6 linked regions of the Daphnia pulex genome follow. The protein of the gene in region 2 purifies or fractionates together with the protein of the main gene of each other region. This does not show direct contact. Links are inferred from orthologs where the notes say so. Each region holds a gene or a part of one and is shown on either strand. Other genes may lie near its edges.

Region 1 (3,616 bases), on a different chromosome or scaffold from region 2:
TGTCATTAAAATGGTAATACTGTTTCCAATGTGCCGAAAACAGAAGTATCGGTAAACATCGAAGGAATTTCTTTGTACTCCAAGGAAATATCACCATTTGCAAGGCATGTATTATTTCCATTTTGTCGTCATCCGTCGGTTTCTTCTTTCTCTGTATGATGATGAAAAAAGTGCCTGAAAATCAAAGGGTAAGCAATCCTAAGTTAACTCTTGTCTTAGGTCGGGCTCAATTCCAAAGTGCCGGAGTCCAACAGATCTCTTTAAAATAAACGGGTCCTGACAAGGCAAGTCCACAGCGATTCACCACGACGGTTGTAGACAAAGGAGAAGCGGTTGCTGTTTCCAGCATATCCTCCAGATCCTGTCACCTATCAATCCACAATGCATCCATCCAAATCCATTCCAATGAAATCCAAATCCAATGCAATCCAAATCCCACAACAATCCCATCCAGAGAGAGCAATAACCTTGCTGTGTACGCTACAAATAGAAAGGGGAAGAAAATGAGAATCATGTTTATTCGACGCACAGCTATTTTGTGTATTACAAGAGGGAGGGGAAAAAGGAAAGGATGAGGTTGCTCACGGAAAAAAAAAAATTAGTTGGTTGGAATCGGGGAGCTCTGAGGGTATTCGAAACCAAAAAGGATTACGTGTACGTCGAGAAGAAACTGAATGATTAGTAGCAATAATTGCAAATGCCAAAATCATAACCCAAGAAACATATTTTGAGTTTCTCATAAAAAATTGAAATCTTTGATGTAGCTTGTTGTAAAAAAAAAAAAAATTGGTTTTTGCAATTTAAAAGATTTGCTATTCATCTAAGAATTTTGAAAATATAGTATGAACCATGGAGACAATACCAAAGACCCCTTTCCTCCTCCAGTCCTTCCAATCCTTAAGCTTTTTGTTGTCCACATCGCACAACTTTTGTCTTTTTGTTTAGTTTTGCCTTTTTCTCGTTTCCATAACTTTTTTAAGATCGTGATCTGGAACGAGGTGAGCGTGAGCGCGAACGGGAATATGAACCACCACGACGAACGGGGGAATAGCTGGGGGAGCCGCGACTTCCACGTGTTTTGCCGCCACCACCGGCTGGAGAATAAGATCGCGATCGATCACGAGTTCCGCCGCTGCGACCTATAGAAGAAAAAATTCAAGGTCAATATTTACTTTAAACAAAAATTGAAATATAACTTACCGTCTCCGCTATCTTCCTTAACGCGCACATATGATACTTCTCCCTGTAAACGTACGAATAATTTTGAAAACTTTGTTTATCAAGATTTGTAGAAAATATACCTCATGTGAACGGAATCTTGAGTCATCTAATTTCTTGATGGCGTATTTCATATCCTCGTAGCGAAGGAATTCAACCATTCCAGTTCCATCTTTATAGGTATCAGCATAACACACATCACCAGCTTCTCTCATGTGATCTTTTAAATCTTGCCATGATCCAGTAGGAGGAAGACCTGTGAATATCAAAAGTGGCTTTAAATGATGGTTTAAAACTTTACTAAATGTTTAACTCACCAGTTACAATGACTCTGTAATTTGTTCTTCTTGCTGGTGGCCCTCGACTCCTGCCTCCACCATTGCTACCCCCACCATCACCCCCTCCTCTACCTCCATCACCACCTCTTCCTCCACTTCGACCACCACTACCCCTAAAAAATAAATATTATGAAAAATTAAATTAGGATTTTTACTTGTTTGTCATAATTTCTTTTACCAACAAAATAAAACAATCACAACTAAATTACAAATATGGTATGTGAGGATAGAAAAACTGACCTGTGTCCACCACCAGAATTCTGTGATCCTCTTGGAAATTCCACTCTCAAACGATATCCATCATAGTCATAGCCATCACGAGCATGCACAGCATCCTCAGCATCCCTATAAAGTGCTTGTAATTAACTAAACAAGGAAACAAATATAACCATGCAACATACCTGGGATCTTCAAATTCAACAAAAGCAAAAGGAGGTCCTCGTCGGTTCTTTAAATCAATGTATGCAATCTTTCCAAATTTGTAGAATAAGTCTTCAATGTCCTTAGTGCGAATGTCGGGTGGCAAGTTACCGACGTAGATTCTGGCTTCATTGTTGCGAGAACTTGACATACTGACTGTTTCTTGTCACTTACGGTTAGTTGCCAAATGTGTATGTTAAATCGAATTCGAATACGGAATTTGCTTTTTCGAAAAAAGACGTCACAGTAGTCTTGGGTGTTAGGCGCCCCTTGTCAAACAGAAAAATGCCGTAAATTTTTCTGAACGGGTAATGGCGTCAGCCATGGAGCATTGCCAGATCAGCAAGTTGATAACGCTTTTATTTTTATTTTTTGTCTTTTTTTTATAGTTACTATTTTTGTGATTTTAATTTTTTTTGTTTGCCTATAAATCTAGCAAATAAATCGCGGATGAAAATTAAGTTGAAATAAGTTCATATTAGTGGCTTTGTGAATAATTAGGTTTCAAAGTGAACACGGTGGCACTCTAGTAAGCGCAAACCGAAGACCGAACCACAGCTATTAATGGTTAACTCAGTTATCTCAAAATTATGCTTGTTATCTTGAGTACTTCTTTGTTCTGGTGCAATTAACTGAATGACCCTTGCATGCAGAGCCTATTGCGCGACATTTTTGTTGGGCTCTTGGTAACGACGTTCGCGTGCAATCTATACCTGGTATAAAATCGTACATCAAGGTCGAGTTCTTTTCAACCGCATTGACGTAACGATCAACTTTGTGACAAGGTCATTTGCTCTGGGGGTTATCTCCTTTCAAGAACTGGTATAAATAAACCGGCATTGGTTACAACAATAACCTATCTTTAATTTTTCAGTGGTGCATTTATTCCTTTTTTCCTGTGAAATTTTGAGTTGGCTTGCCATAAGCAATAGCTCTGAAAATTGTAAGTCTGAAAAATAGTTGAGCGTGCCATAAGGGATAAGACAACTTAGATTTGAAATAATAATAACAAAAAAAGTATTTATGTTCTTCTTTTGTGTTCCTTATTATATTTCACAATGTTTTGTTTTGTCCGTTCCGCCCGGAAATGTGATATTTAAAAAAGTATTCTAACAGCAGCAAACGGAAACGCTTATAAATGTTGACGTCACACATTTCATTTTAATTAAAAATTTTAGCAAGGAGAAACGTGAATAATTATTATTGTTAATTATAGTTGATAGACTTTCAATAATTTCCCTGTTTAAAAAAAACGCGCCTTTTGTAACTATCGTTAGAATCACTTGGTTCTATCATTTACTTCTACCGATACTTAAAGCCTTAATACGTTGGAGCAAGGTATTTGTGCGATAGGCAATTGACTGTCAATTTTAGTCCCGCATTTTTTTGCTACGGTTACTACTGCCCTCTAACGGAAAACATTCATTCAGTCAAAAACGTTTTTCCCTCATGAATGCAATATGAAAAATAAATGAGAAATCAAATGTTGTTAACCTTGTATTTTACTAACCAAATTGTAACCATATTATCATGATAGTATGTTAGTATGTTGTTTGAATGAATCAGTCCACTGGTGGCGCTTTGGACACAACTTGACTTACGAACATCAGAGTTCATGTAAGTTGCTGGTAACAGGCCTT
Region 2 (2,858 bases):
TTGTACCTTCATGCTCAAATCTGCGCACATTTCAAGCAATACAAGAAAGCTATCCAGCTCATCAATAGGTATTATAATTAGTTCATGAATATAAAGCGTAACTATTAAAAACCAAACGTTATTTTCTAGATCAATTTTGCAACTGAATTCTATAACCTTTGCTGTGAGTGGAACGAAAGATGTGATCAGATCCCAATTATGTTTTAAACTGTCGCAATTATTCGATGAAATTGGAAATTTGAAAGACGCACATCACCAACTAAGGCTGTCCTTTCAATATGGCATTTCTATGAATTGTCAAATGCTAGAATTCTATCATAAATTTACATGTAAACTGGGAGCACAAAAAGAAATTCCAATTCCGTCTGATTCTCATCAAGAGCAAGAGGAACTGATTGCGACAATTCTGGAACATTCGGATGACTTAACCCTTAATTACTTAATACGGGATTCTTATGCAGCGTTTAGCCTTCCATAAAAAAATGCAACTGAGAAATACATTTTCTATGTGAAAATTTTTTACTGTCAATTATGAAAATGACTTGGAAAAATTGCTGGAAAAAAAAAACAAGAATGCCGTGTCGATAAACAAAAAAAAAGTTAGTATGGCCTGAATCTCCTGTTGCTTTGATTATTCATATTTCTGCTGGGTGGAGTGATGGCGATGTCAATATAGTCTCCAATGGTAAAACGGCACTGTTTGAGGGTCTTCATATCATCTGGCCCGCGTTCTCCTGAGATTGTGGAACCTATTTCACGTCGAGACATGCTTAGTGTGCTTCGGTCGGGGAATACCTAAGCAGACAGAAGAAAAGAATGATGTATAATGATGAACTAACAAACAAACACAGCAGTTCCTCTTTACTTTAAAGTACTGTATGAACTAGAATGTACCTGAGCAAAGGAAAAGCGTGTTCCACGGCGTCTGGCTTCATAATTAACTTCTCTCACCAATCCAGTAATTTCTTGAAGAGTGGCATCCATCCTATAAATGCAAAATGCAAAATTTCATGAATTCTACGATTACACATAACTTTAGCCGTAAATATCACTTTTTCTTGGGATTTCCTTACCATGTATAAATTTGAAGCTCACTTGCTGGCACACTACCTCTTGCATAATCACCAAGACTATGGTGTCTTCCCATGGCACAGAAAACACGAAGTAACAATGGGCATGTCTGCAAAGAAAACTCAGTTCAGTCATATTTTAGATTAGAAAATGCAAAAAATGTTAGTCTACCTTTTCTCTGTCAACAGATTTTTCAGTTTCTCTATTTTCTTCTACTCGAACGGCCACAGCAGATTCTACAGTTCCCGTAGCCATTCTGTATGGTTTTAACTTCAAATTACTTTTCACAAGGTTCTTGAATAGTTTTAATGATTGAGTTAGAAGAGCCGGGAGAAACAAGATTATTCTGTTTCATGGACGCGAACAACTTCTGATGAGACAGCGCCTCAACCGGCTGATAGTGGCAATTTGTAATTTTGCCACATTGCCATCATGTGAATAATGTCTGCGGAGTGCGGGACGGCCAGGCGGGCCAGCGATCGAAAATGAATTACGGCCTTACCAGAGCAATAGATCCCTGGTCGGTTCACGGCTGTGTTGGCTTCCCCATCTCGATTTTAGGGTAAACGTAAGCCGATTTTCAGGGGGTTTTAGGGCGGGGCCTGTCAGAATTGTGAAGTGGAAACTTTAAAAAGAGCCATCTAGGCTCTCAAAAGTAGCTGGACGTTGTAGCTGACACACTCACTAGAGGCGCTTTTTAAAGTTTCCAAATCGGCTTACGTTTACCCTAAAATCGAGATGGGGAAGCCAACACAGCCGTGAACCGACCAGGGATCTATTGCTCTGGCCTTGCCTTACGCATTTCTTATTTAATGTAATAGTCCGCATCTACGCGTACTAAATACTAACCACTTCAAATAATTAGCTGCAATTTAATTGAAGAGAAGATTGGATTGGTGTTTATTTTTAATTTCAAACTAAGGATTAATCATTCAGAATTCGAATCACAATCGGAACTTTTAATCATGTTTTAATTAGAGAAAACTATGTTTTAACATTAATAACGTATGGCATTCTATCAACGGAGAAGTCTTTTCAAGCAAATATGTTGTCTAAAAATTATGTTTTTCATTTCGTTCTGAGTTGTGAAAGCTTAACCACATTTTAACTTTCCCTCGGCTCTGTTTACGTGCAATAAATTCATAATACGAAAGGAAATACATTGCAAGGCCTGTTTGATCGGGGTATCACGTAATGTCACAATCTACGGATATCAGAGAGAGACATCTATGGCTGAAAACATCGTGAAACTTCGTTCACGTTCATTGTGATTCATGCTGGGTAAATAGAATCTAAACAATCTAGAATATAGGTGGCAGGCGCGAACAATGATCACAATAGACTGCAACCCCCCTTGCCAACTCAGGCCTTTGCTCACTTTGTGATGTTGCTATGTTAGAAAGTTCGTAGAATCGGGAAATGGGAACGTCACATTGTAAACGTCAAGGTCATGAATCTCGTATCGCCTGTTGAGTGTTGACTAATGAAATACGTTTACTCTTAAAGAAAAAGTATGTAACAGTTTAGAAATGTCCTACCGTTTTGTGTTGTGTTGTGTTCTCTTTCAAACCATTGTTGTCAGTCAAGAACTAAGTGCTGCTATCGACCAGCATCCAGAAAGTTTTTGGAAATGTTCTCAACGTGAAAATCCTGAATGTCAATGCTTTCCGAAGACAAATGGCGATTTCAACTTACAATGTTCAGTTGGTGAGGGTTCTATTTCAGCAGATTATAAAGCTCTTAAAGACAATGGTGACAGTTCATTTGAAATTCAGTGTTCATGTGAT
Region 3 (4,140 bases), on a different chromosome or scaffold from region 2:
GGAGGGAACCAGTTCCTGAAATTCCTTGCACAGTAGCATTCTGCAATGAAAATTTTTAAAGGCAATTGTTTATAACTATAAAACATCTTTGTTGGCACATGTGAAAACTGACCAATCCATTCTTAGTCCATTCATTGTCCTCTCCAAGGGCAAGGTTGATGGTAGCTTTGCAGAATTCTGGACTACCGGAGATAGGCGAGTACTCCTTGTCCATGTTCTTCTTCTGGATTTCCTCTTCAGCCTGAACATAATAACTATAATTAAGCTATTGGAATATAATGAACAAATCTCACAGAAATACCAATTTCACAGATGGCAGGATGAATGGTTTTCCATTGTCATCTCGGTAGGCTCCTACACCCAAGTTCATTTTCTTGGGGTTGGTGTCACGCTTGAAGGCTTCAGTTACTCCCAAGATAGGGTCAGGAGGTCCCATCTCGACATGACTCCACCATGAGGAACTGTAATTGCCAAGAAAGTTAAGTAATCGAAGATTCAAGGCCGTACAAGGTCATCCGTAACGGACGGTAACAACGGACGGTAACAATGTTTCACAGATATTTATACAAATACGATACGTACTTTCTAGACGAAACGGACAAAGCATTTTGGGCGGTAGTCAAAGTTGACGGCGAAAAAAATTTCAGTGACGAGATGAGTGCCATGTTGTGCTGACCGGAACCAATGAAAGTATGAAACCGGACAGAATTGCACGTCTGCAATTGGCAATTGGTGATTTCCTCCGACTGGATTTCCTGCTGAGCATCAGCATTGTCAAGTAGTCGGTGAGAAAAATTTTAATGAAAACATTTTCGGTTATTCATCATCTTCATAATTCTATAACATGAGTTAAAATAATTTAGTGGGAAATAAGTAATTTATATTTGATCGACAATTTAAGGGGAATGTCTAAACTTGGCAACCAATAAAATAGCAGGTAAAAAGTGGCGCAGTTATTTGATGTAATAGCAGAGTTAATTTTGTTTTGGATGAAATTGAATTGAAAAAAGCTTTTCATTTCAATTGCACAATAGTCTATTTCAAATTTTCAACTAATAAGAAGTAGCAAGCAGTTGTAGGTTTGTTAAGGAATCCTCTTCAAAGTAGGTCACACTGCATTTGTGTGAATGATTGTGTTTCCAGAGGAAATTGCTCTGCTGCTAACAATGAATAAATAATGCTTATTTTTGTATCATGGGGAAAATAAATTGTTCGTTAGAAACTAGAAACAACAGGGTACGGGTCATTGAGCTCTACCTTTCATGAATCATTGGACTTTTGATTGGACCTGACCCTCCATATCTTAATTACCCCCTTGTTCCCATTGCAGTTGCTATTTCTACTAAAGCTGTTTCAAACTGCACAGTCGTTGCTCTACTTTGCTTGTGTTCGTGTTGACCCTATTAGTCGTGTGCAGGCAAAAACCGTTTCAACAGCAACAGTAAGGATTAATCTAAACAAAATACTTCTAAGTAATCCAATACGTATAGTTGGTTGAATTTTAATTGCTGTTTATTTAAATATGACCAGACATTATTTTTTTTAAACGTATATCATCGTGTAGACTGTAGATGCAGTAAATATAGACCAGCAGCAGGACTGAAGGAGTAGGACTTGATGTTTATGACGTGTTGCGCGAAGCTACCGCTAGGTGCGCTGTACAAACGTCGCCGAGCGAATGCGCTGGCCTGAGATAGCTAGCATCACACTTGATTCTTCACAGGAAAACGATGGCGGACAATCGGGGAAGAGAGTTATGTGTTGGGGGGAAACCTATTTCATCCCTACGCGTCGTTGATTTGAAACAGGAACTAGAAAAAAGGAGCCTCCCGAAATCAGGAAGCAAAAAGGATTTGCTAGAGCGGCTCAGATTGGTAAATATTCTTTTAACTTGAAAAAACCGCTAATGTGTTTCCCGTCCTCTAGCTCCGGGTTTTGTTGTTAGCCCATCCCCCTCGACGCAAACAGACGCTTTCAGCGTGTGTCGCCATGGGGGGGGGGGGATCTGTCATTAAGCAAATCAATATAGGATATTAAGTCTTAACCTCATATTCTGGTAGCATTGCAATTTTTTTCCCTTTTTTTTAAGCAGAAACAAATTTTGTTTACATTTCAGACCCCCTACAGGCTATATTTGAACTAACATATGTTTGGATTTCATCACTCCATCTTCTGACTTTAAATGAAATCCCACATGAATGATAATGCAATATGATAAGACTAGGAGCCAAACTTCTTTTTAGTTTATTATATAAGAAGGATTCTGAAGTAAGCTAAACTTTTGTTGCATTTGTTTCTTCATTAGCACCTGCAATTAGAGGAAGACCGCGAGGCTGCCTTAGCTGATGAAGAGCATGTTCCAAACCTTTCGGTAAGTACTCTTATCACATTTGTTTGCACTGATCTACAGACAATTTTTAAATGATCTTTCATCATGTTAGCTATGCAATGAAACTGAAAATGATTTCATTCGTGAATACTTGGCTGCACAGCAGGCCAGGTTCCAAGTACAAAGAGAAGCCAAGAAACAATATGAAGAAAAGAAGCGTGAATCAGAAGCTAGTGCTGAAGAAACAACTCAAGACGAGGATGAAGCGTCTGATGTATCTCCAACCAAAAAATCTCCCAGAAAAGCCATGAGGCCAAAGTAAGTTCTAAAGTAATTTCAAATAAAAAATAACATTTACTCAACACAGTGTATGTTAATGTAGGAAAAACGAAGAGTCTACATCTACGCCAAAAGCGCACAAATCCGCACTGGATTTTCAAACACCAGAGTCGATGCCTTACTCCACTCCACCACAAGAAAAGCGAGATGAAGACGGGGCGAGACACGAGAGTGATACCACCGGTGAGGAGGAAGAATCCATGACTCCCCAGACCCGTAAACATAAGCTACTCAAATATGTTCAGCAGCCTGCCTCTAGTAAGGGTCCTGGTAAGTCGGATACCGGACAATTTTCAATTGCAGACCATGTGGATAGATATCAAGGGAGTGGGACATCAGAAAGGCGGGATCCACCGCCTTCCAGTCTCTATGGTGAAGCCATCAATTTGAAGGTGGAAAAAGAGAAAGAGATTTCACCTGTTAAGAAAGAACCCTCACCGGTAAAAAAAGAAATCCCTTCACCGGTTAAGGTAGAAACTCCTTCCCCCGTAAAGAAAGACGGACGAGTATTGCGAGGACAAAAGGCGCATAGTGTGAAACCTCCACCCACCGATGTGTCTGAGGATGAGGAGGACGACGACGAAGAAGAAGAAGAAGGAGTCTTTCCCCGTCTTGTCGAGGTCTGGTCAGAGAAAGAAAGAGAGGAAGAAGCTGCAGCTTCGGCCTCGGCTGAAAAATCTTTAGCACACAAATCGGAAAAACCTAAAGAAAATGTTGAACATCCTTCGTTGAATGTTAAACAGGAAGACCCTGAACCCCACAAGCCCGTTGTCACTGTAACCCTTGTTGAAAAGTGTAGCGAAGAAGAGTCGAAGGATGTAGCGCCTTGCGCTACCGATCCGCTAGCAGATAATCCAAGCAAGACAGAAACCATTTCTGTCGAGGATGAAGCAAAACCGGTTAAAAGCGAATGCGCGGTAGAAGTACCACCAGTAGAATTAGTTGTAGAAAAAGTTAAAATCGAAGAAAAAAACGTAGAAAAGGTAGAGGATGTTAAGGAGGATGAAGCGTTAGATATGACCACGGATAGCAAGGTAGATGAAGCTTCTCAAAAAGCGGATCTCGTAATTTTAGAGGAAAAAGTAGAGACTGCAAAGTTAGAGGAACCGGTTGCGAACTCTTCAGCGATTGAGGTACATGAAAACGATACTGTCGACGCTTCTGTATCTGTTGTGGAAATCGTACCGCCCGCTGAAATCGAAGAACCGATTGTAGATCTCGTAACTGTAGAAAAGACAAATGTCCCCTCTGAAACCCCCAATAGAGATATTTCAATCACGGAATCGGAACCCGAGAAAATGGATCAGTGTGAAACTACACCAACCGATCAATCCGAGCCAGAGAAAACGGATCTGTGTGAAAACAAACCAATCATGAAATGCGAGCCTGAGTTGAAGGATCAGCCCGAAACGAAAGAGCCTGAGTTGAAGGATCAGCCCGAAACGAAAGAGCCTGAGTTGAAGGATCAGCCC
Region 4 (4,032 bases), on a different chromosome or scaffold from region 2:
ACATGTAAAAATTAACATTTCTGTGTAAAAAAATAAATATAGTGTTTAGTAAATCAAGGTCACCTTAGTTCAGCTTCATCCTTTTTTCGCTTTTCTTCTTCTCTCTCCCTTTCTTTTTGTTCTTTAAGGAGCCTTTTCTTGTCGTCTCTTTCTGCACAGTCTCTCTGTTCTCTTTCAAACCTTAAATCAGGTTTTTTCTCAACTTTGGTTTTGTTGAGACGGTTTACAATTTCATTAATTCTTTTCTCCACCCTAATCTTGCGAACCTATAAAACTTGATTGTTAGATAATGGATAGGAACACATTAAGAAGGAAATCTGTACATCTTTTTCTTTGTGAAATCCAACTTGTCCAACTTCCATACCAGGAGTCTTTTTCAAATTAGACCACAGGGTGTAAACAACATCAATGTTGTTCATTTTATTCCCTTGGATGCTGTTCGCTTTACATAATTGTGCTGCATCTTCTAAAATGGCTGCTGGAATATCATCAATTACTTGACCCTACAAATAAGAATAGTAACAGAGCTGTATTAAAAATTGTTTTATTTGATTTAATAAAAAAAACCCTTACCTTGTTTAGTCGTATGTAAACATGGGCTGACGATAGCTTGTCAACGTGGAACCAAACATCTTCAGGCCATCCCCACTTGATCAACTCCTCATCTAGTTGTTACTACAAGGATTAATAATCCCATTTTATATCTTACTGATTGATTACTTCTTACTTTCATGTTTTTCTTCTCCCATGAAAAGTGCGCAACTGGGTTGAACGGCGGTGCTGACGAAATAGAAAACCATTTTAAATCTTAAAAATATAGTCAACTAATTTGAGAGGGCCAGCGAGAAAACATTCAGATCCAAATTCCAATTTTTTAACACGTGGATATACTATTTTCTACAATAGTAAATGCAACTTGACAATCCGCCTTGCGGCTGACAGTACTTCGGATAACACTAGAAGAATACGGTCGATCCCTCTTGACCACTTTTTGATCTTTTGATCATGTAAAGCTCTAGAAAATCTATGGTAGTGAGTGCCATCTGGAGTCTCAACATTGTAGAATCCACATTCCACAATCCTGAAATCCTATCCAATCCAATCAACGAAAAATCCTCTTCCCCAGTTTAAATTTCTACTTAAAAATAATTTTTCTATTAAACTATGATTTATTTCAAATGTTCAAATACGGTATCAAATATCTTTAAAATCTAGCGTTGCCCAAACGAGTTTCACTGGCAACGCTTTATGGCCATTCCTTATACTTCTCCGCTCGGCGCGAAGTAAAATAACCGACTGCTGGTGTTTTACATTGTTACGATTATTCTCTTGCTTTCCAGCTCGTCTAGTTGGATTTTTATTCATTTCGCCAATCGGGATTACAATTTTTTCGTTGTGTGATGGATTTTTTAGAGTTCTCTGATGTTTCAGCTGAAATTAAAGGCTCAATGGTAAGAGGCTCGCTAAATTGTCATATCGGCTGCACGTGAATCTTCTTCTATTGACAAAATTTTTTCTTCTAGACTCCAGGCCGTCTAAAACTAACGGATCAGAGTATCGTGTTCAAGAATTCCAAAACGGGTAAAGTTGAACAGATAAGTTCTTCTGACATTGAATTGGTTAACTGGCAGCGACTAGCTGGTGCTTGGGGACTACGTGTATTTCTCAGAACCGGAGCACTTCATCGCTATGGTGGATTTAAAGATTCAGTAAGTAATTTTTTAACATTTGAAAGCTTTTTTATTTTCAATTTCCTATTAATTTGGTTTTGTCTAGGATCAAGACAAGCTGGCAAAGTTTTTTACTCAAACCTACAAAAAAGACATGCTGGAGAAAGAGCTGAGTGTCAAAGGATGGAATTGGGGCCGTGCTGAGTTCAGTGGTTCAACTATGTCTTTTGAAGTTGGAAACCATACTGCCTTTGAGATTCCTCTAAGCAATGTGTCCCAATGCACAACAGGGAAAAATGAAGTCACCTTAGAATTCCATCAGGTGGGTACTATTATGACAAACAATGCTGCAGACATCTTACCTACTGCTTTATTTTCTCTAAAACTAGAATGATGATGCATCAGTCAGTCTGATGGAGATGCGTCTCTTCATTCAGTCCAATGATCAAGGTGGAGATGATGCTGTTGAAGCATTCCAGAAGCAGGTGATGCCTAAAGCAAGTGTCATCAGTGCTACTGGTGATGCAATTGCCATCTTCAGAGAAGTTCAGTGCCTCACACCAAGGTATTTTCTATCATTTGTACTTAAAACATTTGCTCATTTAGTTTTTATCCTTGACAGAGGTCGCTATGACATCAAAGTTTTCCAATCATTCTTTCAACTTCATGGTAAGACATTTGACTACAAGATTCCAGCCTCTACTGTACTTCGCCTGTTTTTACTTCCGCACAAAGATGGTCGGCAAATTTTCTTTGTAGTAAGTTACACATCTCTGAAAAAGAAATTAAGAAAAGAATCATCATTAATCTACATATTTTTATTGTGTAATTCAGGTAAGCCTTGATCCACCTATTAAGCAAGGTCAGACGCGTTACCACTTTTTGGTCCTTCTCTTTAACAAAGATGAGGAGACATCTTTTGAAATACCATTATCAGAGTGAGTAATTTTGAATAATTCAACATTTTCAACACGTCATCAAAAAACGTTTGTCCTAACAGGGAGGAATTGAAAGAAAAGTTTGAAGGCCGACTTTCTCGTGATTGTAATGGTCCAACTTATGAAGTTATGAGTACCGTCATGAAGGCCATGGTTAACCGAAAGGTCACTATACCTGGAAATTTTACTGGGTAAAATTTTATATTTTCATTTCAAGTGTTCTAGACTGATTTCACAGTTTCCTTCTTTTTTAATTATTTATAGCCATTCTGGAACCCCCGCTGTTGGATGTTCCTACAAAGCAGCAGCCGGATACTTGTATCCGCTAGAACGTGGTTTTATTTACGTTCATAAACCTCCTATTCACATTCGGTAGAATTCGTTTCCCTGAAATTTTTGTTTGCATATTTTTTAATTTATTCTTCCTTCGCACAGATTCGAAGAAATTGCAAGTGTTAACTTTGCTCGTGGCGGAGGAAGTACCCGTTCTTTTGACTTCGAAGTTGAGACCAAAAATGGGGTTGTTCACACCTTCAGTAGCATTGAAAAGGAGGAATATAACCGCTTGTACGATTTCGTAAACAACAAGAAGCTCCGCGTCAAAAATACTGGCCGATCCGTAAGATCTAGCAACCCATTGATAGTGTTTGTACTAATCAGTTTTTGTTGTACGTAATAGGACAAGTCCGCTCATGGGGATGATTTTGGCGATTCGGACGAAGAGGAAGCGCCCGACGCATATTTGGCTCGTGTCAAGGCTGAAGGCAAACAGCGTGACGCAGTTGGTACGTTTTCCTTGCTTAACGAAACAAAAGCCTTTCCACTAACATGTGCCAGTTGCAGGTGACGATTCGGGTGGAGATTCTGATGAAAATGACGAAGACTTCAAACCTGGTGAGGAAAGTGACGTAGCAGAAGAATACGACTCCAATGTGGCTACGACCGACTCGGAAGCATCCGACGCATCAGGTGGAGCCAAGGCTAGTAGTGCTGCGAAGGCTAGTAGTGCTGCCAAGGCTGGCAGTGGTTCTGGCAGTGATTCCGATTCCTCGTCCAAAAAGAAGAAAAAGAAGGACAAAAAAGAGGAGAAGGAGAAAAAGGAAAAGGAACCCAAGAAATCCAGTAGCTCGAAATCGGCGGTAATATCATCTTTCAATTTGCCAATAATTTCAGAATTAAAGTTTTTATCGTTTATTAATTTTGTTGTAGGCCCCTAAAACTCCCAGATCGCACAAATCCAAGAAGGATAAGGATGCAAACAGGCCCAAACGACCACAGTCGTCGTACATGCTGTGGTTGAACGACTCACGCGAACAGATTAAAAAAGATAACCCTGGCATAAGTGTCACAGATCTGATGAAAAAAGGTGGCGAAATGTGGCAGAAGGTTGAAGATCGATCTATATGGGAAGCCAAAGCTAAAGT
Region 5 (3,678 bases), about 1.3 Mb from region 2:
CGTTTCCAGCTCCTATTTGATTATTACCAAGTATTCTCAATAAATTAGAAGTGCCGGAGCCAAAACGTATTAAATTATTAGTTGAAAAAGACATTGTTGACGAGGTGACAAATGATTTCATCACCCACCAACAAGCAACAACCGGGTGCTTCGAACTGTAGCAGACCAAAACTGTTTTCAAACAGAAAAAAGGAAATGTGGGGTACTGGGTTTCAGCAACCAAGTTTTCAGCTAGTTTCTAGCTTTTGTTCAGCTACTAGAGATACAACAAATCTAACTTTGTAATTGGAATTTGGAACGTCCTTCAAATACTGGTTTCGAATTGTCGCAAGTATTTTCAAAGTGAGTAAAAAAAATCAACATGCCTTATTATAAATACTGTGTCATAACTCATAAGTCAATAAGTCATAACTCATGAGCAAAAGGTTCATATATTACTTCAGATCTACGAGTAAAGTAGACGTCATTTTTAGACTCCAACAATGGAACAAGACAATTAATTAAACGGCCACAAGTTTCATATATTTAGTCCAAATCTTCGGGGATACAGAAAAAAAAAATCCAGCAAAATAAAAACATGACGCATCAACTTCTTTGTTTTCCTTTTTCCGAAATGGATTATAGATTAAATGAGGTCAGCCACTGAAATTGATTAAAAACAAACACATTTAGAAAGAGTTAAAAAAAAACATGCTAAAAATATTTTACCATTCATGGGCATTTCGTCAACCTGTGTAGCATAGTACTGTTCGATATCGCGGAGAATACGGATATCGTCATTCTTGACAAAGTTAATTGCAACACCTTTACGTCCGAATCGGCCAGAACGACCGATACGATGGATGTACAACTCACGGTTGTTAGGGAGATCGTAGTTAATGACCAACGAAACTTGTTGAACATCAATACCACGAGCCCAAACGTCAGTTGTAATAAGAACTCGGCTAGAATAAACGAATAATTGTTATTACTCTGAATGGTTATATGGTAGACGAAAATTTCAATACCTCTGACCATTACGGAATTCTTTCATAATAGTATCACGCTCTTTTTGAGGCATGTCTCCGTGCATTGAAGAAACGGTAAAATTCGCTTCACGCATTTTCTCCGTCAACCAGTCAACCTAAAATCAATCTAACTGTGTTACATCGAAATCAACAATAGAAGAGATTTAATCGTGACTAACCTTGCGTTTAGTATTACAAAAAATAACCGCCTGCGTGATTGTCAGTGTGTCGTACAGATCGCACAACGTGTCAAACTTCCATTCTTCTCTTTCGACAGCGACAAAGAACTGTTTGATTCCTTCGAGTGTCAACTCATCACTAAACCACATAAAATAATTAGTAATAAAAAACAAGCAGACTTTTAACAACGTTTACCGTTTGACTAAAATGCGAATGGGATCTGTCATGAATTTGCTGGTCATCTCCAAGATTTCATGAGGCAATGTGGCTGAAAGAAGAACCACCTTGAATAAAAGATTGATTTAATTGGTTTTTCTTATGAAATATCATAAAACATACTTGGGTTGCTGGAGGAAGGTAACGGTAGACATCGTAAATTTGCTCCTTGAACCCTTTATTTAACATTTCATCGGCTTCATCCAGGACCAACATTTTAATTGAACGTGTCCTTAGTGTACGTCGGCGAATCATATCTGTAGAGTTATCAAGACACTTATCATCAATCCAAACTTAACAAACAGAAATAGCAAAATATACCAAATACACGTCCAGGGGTTCCAGAAACAATGTGCTGACCGTAGTCCAATTTTCGAACATCCTCTCCAACATTAGTGCCGCCGATACACGCATGGCATTGAACATTCATGTAATCACCAAGAGCCAGAATAACCTAAACACAAGCTAAATGAAAACACTGTACTACAGAAAGTAATGCCATAACATACTTTCTGAATTTGAACTGCCAACTCTCGAGTGGGGCTTAGAACCAATATTTGAGTTTCTCTTGTTTGAATTTCAAGACTCTGAAGAATTGAAATTGAAAATGTGGCTGTTTTGCCAGTACCGGATTGGGCTTGGGCAATAACGTCTCTCCCCTTGATTACTGGGGCAATTGCTCTCTGCTGAATAGCTGATGGTTTTTCAAATCCTATAGAAACATTTAAAGCCAACCTCAACATTAAAAATCATGTAGGTTAAGGATAATGTGAATAATGGAGCAAGGTCTCAACAAGTGAAAGTCTCATTTGTACGTACCATAAGCGTAAATTCCTCTTAGCAGGTCTTCACGGAGGCCCATGCTGTCAAATGTGGGAATAACATTGACATCTTCACTCGTTTCAAATTCAATATTAGTTAAATCATCCGGCATCTGTTGGACAACACGTCTGCCTTTAGACTCCATTTTTTTAGAAATCAGAAGTGTGAAAAAGCACGATAGTTCGTGAATAATTAGTTTGCGTCCGTTCGGCAAGGGTGAAAGGATGCTATAGAATGAATGTTACAGACGTTAAAATCGCTTCAACATGGAGTCAACTGTGTTGCCAAATTTTCATACTCATGGTTTCAAAGCAAAAATTTACAACTTAAAAGTAATGATTCATGATCCACTAAAATTTGAAACTAATTTAATTTTTAATTTAATAAAAATCAATGAAAGTTGCTAAAAACCTTTTAAAGACCTGGCCTTTGTAATTTGTATATCGATATCGTGCATGAAAAGATTCAATTAAGCAGACGAACGAACACTGAAAATAATTTTCTCCCGATTCAAGAAAAATAAAAATCTAAAATGTTTACTTTGAAAAACGTTATTCAATCGGCTTTTCGATTGGCGAATTATTCACCAATTTCTAAAAATGTCGTTTCAGTCAAAGCAAAAATTTTGCTGCCTAGCACATCAAGGTTTTTTTCGGGTTCGTCAGAATCAACTTTTCGGTGTGTCCAATACCCTTCCATGAATGCTACCCCAAGTATATTATCATCTATTTCCCCATTGCTTCAAAATCTGTCATTGTAAGCAAGAATTTAAATTTTATTAAGCACACAAATTAAGCTTACTTTCTTGCAGAACTACTCCCTCTTTGCAGCAAACCCGATCAGTTACAAAATGGTCACTCAAAAAAGGGAAGCGCAAAACAGTTAAAGCTGTTGTTTCTAGGTTCTATCGTTTAGGATGGTAATATATTTTATTCATTCCTGGTTATTTATATTCATTATGTTTTCTTAGGGGTGCATGGATAAGGCCAATGGTGGGACACAGTAAACGTCACTGGAGCAAAACAGCAAAAAGGAAGATTCGGGGTGAAAAGCATGTATTTTGTAATGCTACCCAGTCAACTCTTCTTGACAAAATGGTAACGAAATACTGGAGAAAGAGACGGTTTTACGTTGATGACATGTACGAGTCGTATCATCAGCGAGAAGAGTATCCATCAAGTGCTGTTAAACCTCATTGAGGTCTATAATTAATACTAGTTCAAATACATTCAAATAATGGAAAAGGAAATTTATTGTATTTATTTCATTCCAATGTTAAAAAATATTGGTTGTACAAATATCTTAACCATATTTAACTTGAACTGAAATGTATTACTGAAGTGTTATCTTTGAGTACATGAACAGAAGAAATTTGAAAAACTGTTACATAATATCAGGGGGTGGGGGATTTAAAAGTCCCATTCCTGAGTCCTTTTAACACTTTTTCGCTGAG
Region 6 (3,318 bases), on a different chromosome or scaffold from region 2:
GAATTACAAAAATTTTGTTCCATATTGCAAAAGCTCTGTAGTTACCTCACGAACTACTGGTCATCTTAGAGCTGATTTAGCAATTGGCTTTCCTCCTTTGTTAGTAGAAAGCTATACAAGCAGTGTCATGCTTACCCCACCAAACATGGTGAAGTCTGTGTGTTCAGAAGGGAAGCTATTCAACCATCTTCTTACTATTTGGAAATTCAGTCCTGGACTAAAGGGAAATCCTAAAAGTTGCACATTGGATTTTTCCATTTCCTTTGAATTTCGGTCTGTACTTCACTCTCAACTGTCACATGTTTTTTTTGATCAGGTTGTTAGGCAAATGGTTACTGCATTTTTGACAGAGGCTAGGAGACGTTACGGACCAGCGTCAATTAATGGTCAAAGGCCACAGATGTTATCTACACACGCCTAATGACTTAATCAATAATCACTAGCTAAATTGAAATGTTAAATAATATTGTATCTAAATTTGATGACATTACACGAATTGCGACGGCTCAAGTGAGTTTATTTTTAATGAAATCAGTACATGAAACTTGTGTAAAAATGTAGTACAGAAAGTGAATTACAATACATAATCGAGTTCATAACGATTAAAAGTGTTTTTCCCTTCGTTGGACACTCGAGGGTACCCACACACCAGTGAATCTTGACCGCCGATGTATAGTGAGTTGTAAATCTTCCAATACACGTCACGAACTTTCCGGGCCGGATGAAACAGACCCTATATAGAAAAGAAAATGGTTTAAAACTGAAATTCTAATTCAATCAAATAATTAAGTTACCTGCAGTGCGTATTGTAAGACTTTAATAGGGCCCAGGGCTACTCTCATACCCTCCACAGCATCCATAAAAGCTTGAACCAAATGAGGGGATGTTTCAAAAATATTGGGCCAAACGTAGTTCAACAGGTGTGTGAGGGCATCTTCACAACCAAAGCCGAAAACACCCAAAGCCATGTGCTTGATGGCTGCACAAGCAGTTTGACGATGGACCAGGTCACTAAAATAAACAGATGTGCTTCATTAACTAATTAATCATAAATTCAAAATAACTAGAAACTTACCGATCCATCAAAGCGTCTTCTAAGAGCGATGTAACTGAATAAATGTAATCCTTCCCCATCTCGCCAATGTACTCGAACAAGAATGACATCGACTTCAAAACACCATTTTGAACATTAAGTTCCGGGACTCTATATTCGTTCATAAGACCAGGGAGGACGGTGAAGGGCGAACAAGTTTCAGCCACAATTGCAATGGCAACGGTTGTACAAACACGATTTTGGCGCTCCTGTACCTTCAAATTATTAAGCAGTGTAGCCAATACATCGTGTGGGCCTGAAATTTGTTGTTGAAAAATAAATAATTATATTGTACATAATAACCATGACAATTTCGGTCTCACCAATTGCTTTGGCGATATAACCAAAAGTGTTGACTGTAGCTCGTCGAATGGCTTTCTTGTGTGCTTTCAAGAGTTCTAAAAGCTCAAAACAAATGCGCATCCACTCTCGAGCTGAAACGTACTCTGGCCCACGATCGGCAATACGCCCAACCAAATCGATGCAATTTTCCTGTACTTTTTCATGCCGATTCTAAAATGATAATAAAACCACAATAAGAAAAATAAATTACTGATATGTTAAAAAAGCGAACCTTCAAAATAGGTGTTAATCGGGGAAGTAAATCTTTGATTGGCGGTGTCATCTTGTGCATGCCAATTACGTTAACAATAGCTTTAAGAGCAGCTAAAATAGACCCAAGAACTTCAGGGTACTCTTCGCCAAGATATTCATAGAGAACAACTCCCAGATGCCCCATGAGCTTTTCTTCCTGACAAGTTTTCATTACTGCTGCAATACGGCTAATCAAATCAGCAGCTTGTTGCCGAACCTATGGAATAAAAATCATTATATTAAAACGAACGTTTACAAATAAAAGTTGTATAACATTACTTTTGCTGATTTGTTGTTCAAACGCCATAAAATAGTACCACAAATTTGTGGCAAATAAGGTTTAACTCGTTTGGAAAGTGAGTTCACGATTGTACCGAATCCATTTAGCATCACAACATCTTCAGTCGTTTGTTCCTGAAATGCGTAGAGAATACCGTCGATGAGCTGCTCTTCCAAGCGAGCGTCGATATCAGCGGCACCAAGATTACCCATGATCTTTTCGACCGTTTCCATAACCATTTTCCGGTATTGTTCATTTTCGTCCTGTTAGGAAAAATATTCAACATGTTATTTGACTGTCACTGAATTATAAATAATGAAAATGAATAAAACCTTTAAATCGTCAACCACTCGGCCAATAATTTCCGCTGCACCAACACGATTAGCGATTTCAACTGTTGTGTCAACTAGCTGGCGATAGTTACGTCTATCTAATGCCATTCTATGATTCCAGAAACTTTTGAAGAAATGTGGCAAAATTTCTGTTTTAATATACTGAGGTTCCACACCGTCAGTTGCGCAACACTGTTTCACCACTTTAAGTACAATCTTTTTCATTTCTTCGTCAGGTGACTGAAACTCGCGAATTAAAATTAACATCACTTCGCGAGTGTAATAATTGGCGTATTCGGCATCCATGAGAGGAATCAAATAGCCAATAGCCTATTTTTTTTAAACAAATAATATTACAGTATGCAGGATAATATTTTACTTTCAATTAACATACCTTAAGGAAAGCAGCCAATCCCTTACCACGATGAGTTCTTATACCCTTCCACAACGGTTTTAAAACAGAGTCAAAGCTCTCAATACCGTACGGAGTCGCGGCTTCTGCCAGCGCAGCAATGGACAAGGCAGTGATGGTGCGCACTTTCTGTTGCTCATCTACCAATCCATGTTCAATGATCTCAACCAGATTTCGCAAGTGAGGTAAAATAGCACATCCCATAAGAATAGCAATTTGTTGGACGATTTTGATGCCAGTATGGCGAGCTTGCCATGACTTTTTACTCTTGCAAACGGCCTAAAATAAAAATAATAGATAAGAACAAGCCCATCTTAAAACTGAAACAAACTATATACCTTTAGAAAGGGAAGAAGGGAAGGAATTCCCAGTGCAGAAGCTACCACAGCAAAAGCTCTTGCAGTAGTGTTACGAACATATTCATCAATGTTATCGATATCAGGTCTCATGGTAGAAATCATAGTTGCTAAACCAGCTGCTTTGGCTAAATTAGAGATGATTTCTCGACCTTCAACACGAGCATAATAGTCTTCGTCGATTAGCAGCGGTTCAATAACGACAAGGATTTTGTGGACGTATGGACGCACTAGATCATCCAATTTGTAGA

What was found.
Region 1: the proteins of histone deacetylase complex subunit SAP18-like (region 2) and serine/arginine-rich splicing factor 1-like purify together in Homo sapiens (co-immunoprecipitation; 4 studies listed by BioGRID and IntAct, with this or other methods). This does not show direct contact. The link is inferred for Daphnia pulex from reciprocal best matches to the Homo sapiens genes SAP18 and SRSF1.
Region 3: the proteins of histone deacetylase complex subunit SAP18-like (region 2) and apoptotic chromatin condensation inducer in the nucleus-like fractionate together in Homo sapiens (co-fractionation; 7 studies listed by BioGRID and IntAct, with this or other methods). This does not show direct contact. The link is inferred for Daphnia pulex from reciprocal best matches to the Homo sapiens genes SAP18 and ACIN1.
Region 4: the proteins of histone deacetylase complex subunit SAP18-like (region 2) and FACT complex subunit Ssrp1-like fractionate together in Homo sapiens (co-fractionation; 3 studies listed by BioGRID and IntAct, with this or other methods). This does not show direct contact. The link is inferred for Daphnia pulex from reciprocal best matches to the Homo sapiens genes SAP18 and SSRP1.
Region 5: the proteins of histone deacetylase complex subunit SAP18-like (region 2) and eukaryotic initiation factor 4A-III fractionate together in Homo sapiens (co-fractionation; 3 studies listed by BioGRID and IntAct, with this or other methods). This does not show direct contact. The link is inferred for Daphnia pulex from reciprocal best matches to the Homo sapiens genes SAP18 and EIF4A3.
Region 6: the proteins of histone deacetylase complex subunit SAP18-like (region 2) and splicing factor 3B subunit 1-like purify together in Homo sapiens (co-immunoprecipitation; 3 studies listed by BioGRID and IntAct, with this or other methods). This does not show direct contact. The link is inferred for Daphnia pulex from reciprocal best matches to the Homo sapiens genes SAP18 and SF3B1.

The regions. Positions count from the first base shown.
Region 1 is NC_060024.1:10,561,747-10,565,362, forward strand, and holds serine/arginine-rich splicing factor 1-like, read right to left. Parts: upstream 2,310-3,616; 5' UTR 2,128-2,309; coding exon 1,958-2,127; intron 1,902-1,957; coding exon 1,797-1,901; intron 1,670-1,796; coding exon 1,536-1,669; intron 1,475-1,535; coding exon 1,302-1,474; intron 1,244-1,301; coding exon 1,201-1,243; intron 1,140-1,200; coding exon 976-1,139; 3' UTR 501-975; downstream 1-500. UniProt on the Homo sapiens protein: Plays a role in preventing exon skipping, ensuring the accuracy of splicing and regulating alternative splicing.
Region 2 is NC_060018.1:4,705,792-4,708,649, forward strand, and holds histone deacetylase complex subunit SAP18-like, read right to left. Parts: upstream 1,469-2,858; 5' UTR 1,327-1,468; coding exon 1,243-1,326; intron 1,181-1,242; coding exon 1,074-1,180; intron 986-1,073; coding exon 895-985; intron 796-894; coding exon 601-795; 3' UTR 501-600; downstream 1-500. Other genes in the region: uncharacterized protein LOC124210509, read left to right, coding at 1-68, 130-478; protein toll-like, read left to right, coding at 2,601-2,858. UniProt on the Homo sapiens protein: Component of the SIN3-repressing complex. Enhances the ability of SIN3-HDAC1-mediated transcriptional repression. When tethered to the promoter, it can direct the formation of a repressive complex to core histone proteins.
Region 3 is NC_060026.1:13,527,855-13,531,994, reverse strand, and holds the start of apoptotic chromatin condensation inducer in the nucleus-like, read left to right. Parts: upstream 1-1,340; 5' UTR 1,341-1,441; exon of another isoform or gene 1,442-1,472; intron 1,473-1,530; 5' UTR 1,531-1,730; coding exon 1,731-1,874; intron 1,875-2,305; coding exon 2,306-2,371; intron 2,372-2,441; coding exon 2,442-2,647; intron 2,648-2,711; coding exon 2,712-4,140. Other genes in the region: aspartate aminotransferase, mitochondrial-like, read right to left, coding at 1-40, 113-241, 302-461, 583-665.
Region 4 is NC_060026.1:11,629,052-11,633,083, reverse strand, and holds the start of FACT complex subunit Ssrp1-like, read left to right. Parts: upstream 1-1,232; 5' UTR 1,233-1,400; coding exon 1,401-1,451; intron 1,452-1,523; coding exon 1,524-1,709; intron 1,710-1,776; coding exon 1,777-1,992; intron 1,993-2,059; coding exon 2,060-2,235; intron 2,236-2,292; coding exon 2,293-2,428; intron 2,429-2,504; coding exon 2,505-2,608; intron 2,609-2,670; coding exon 2,671-2,799; intron 2,800-2,872; coding exon 2,873-2,980; intron 2,981-3,043; coding exon 3,044-3,227; intron 3,228-3,287; coding exon 3,288-3,393; intron 3,394-3,445; coding exon 3,446-3,747; intron 3,748-3,817; coding exon 3,818-4,032. Other genes in the region: coiled-coil domain-containing protein 25-like, read right to left, coding at 64-266, 324-503, 574-665, 728-800. UniProt on the Homo sapiens protein: Component of the FACT complex, a general chromatin factor that acts to reorganize nucleosomes. The FACT complex is involved in multiple processes that require DNA as a template such as mRNA elongation, DNA replication and DNA repair.
Region 5 is NC_060018.1:3,384,302-3,387,979, forward strand, and holds eukaryotic initiation factor 4A-III, read right to left. Parts: upstream 2,501-3,678; 5' UTR 2,371-2,500; coding exon 2,223-2,370; intron 2,116-2,222; coding exon 1,913-2,115; intron 1,858-1,912; coding exon 1,725-1,857; intron 1,661-1,724; coding exon 1,527-1,660; intron 1,472-1,526; coding exon 1,383-1,471; intron 1,326-1,382; coding exon 1,187-1,325; intron 1,124-1,186; coding exon 1,008-1,123; intron 945-1,007; coding exon 709-944; intron 643-708; coding exon 626-642; 3' UTR 501-625; downstream 1-500. Other genes in the region: ATP synthase mitochondrial F1 complex assembly factor 2-like, read right to left, coding at 1-121; 39S ribosomal protein L35, mitochondrial-like, read left to right, coding at 2,758-2,981, 3,037-3,144, 3,196-3,424; uncharacterized protein LOC124188409, read right to left, coding at 3,635-3,678. UniProt on the Homo sapiens protein: ATP-dependent RNA helicase. Involved in pre-mRNA splicing as component of the spliceosome. Core component of the splicing-dependent multiprotein exon junction complex (EJC) deposited at splice junctions on mRNAs.
Region 6 is NC_060027.1:4,648,201-4,651,518, forward strand, and holds the end of splicing factor 3B subunit 1-like, read right to left. Parts: coding exon 3,050-3,318; intron 2,991-3,049; coding exon 2,694-2,990; intron 2,630-2,693; coding exon 2,300-2,629; intron 2,231-2,299; coding exon 1,967-2,230; intron 1,905-1,966; coding exon 1,668-1,904; intron 1,607-1,667; coding exon 1,417-1,606; intron 1,350-1,416; coding exon 1,076-1,349; intron 1,012-1,075; coding exon 795-1,011; intron 734-794; coding exon 575-733; 3' UTR 501-574; downstream 1-500. Other genes in the region: coenzyme Q-binding protein COQ10 homolog B, mitochondrial-like, read left to right, coding at 1-421. UniProt on the Homo sapiens protein: Component of the 17S U2 SnRNP complex of the spliceosome, a large ribonucleoprotein complex that removes introns from transcribed pre-mRNAs.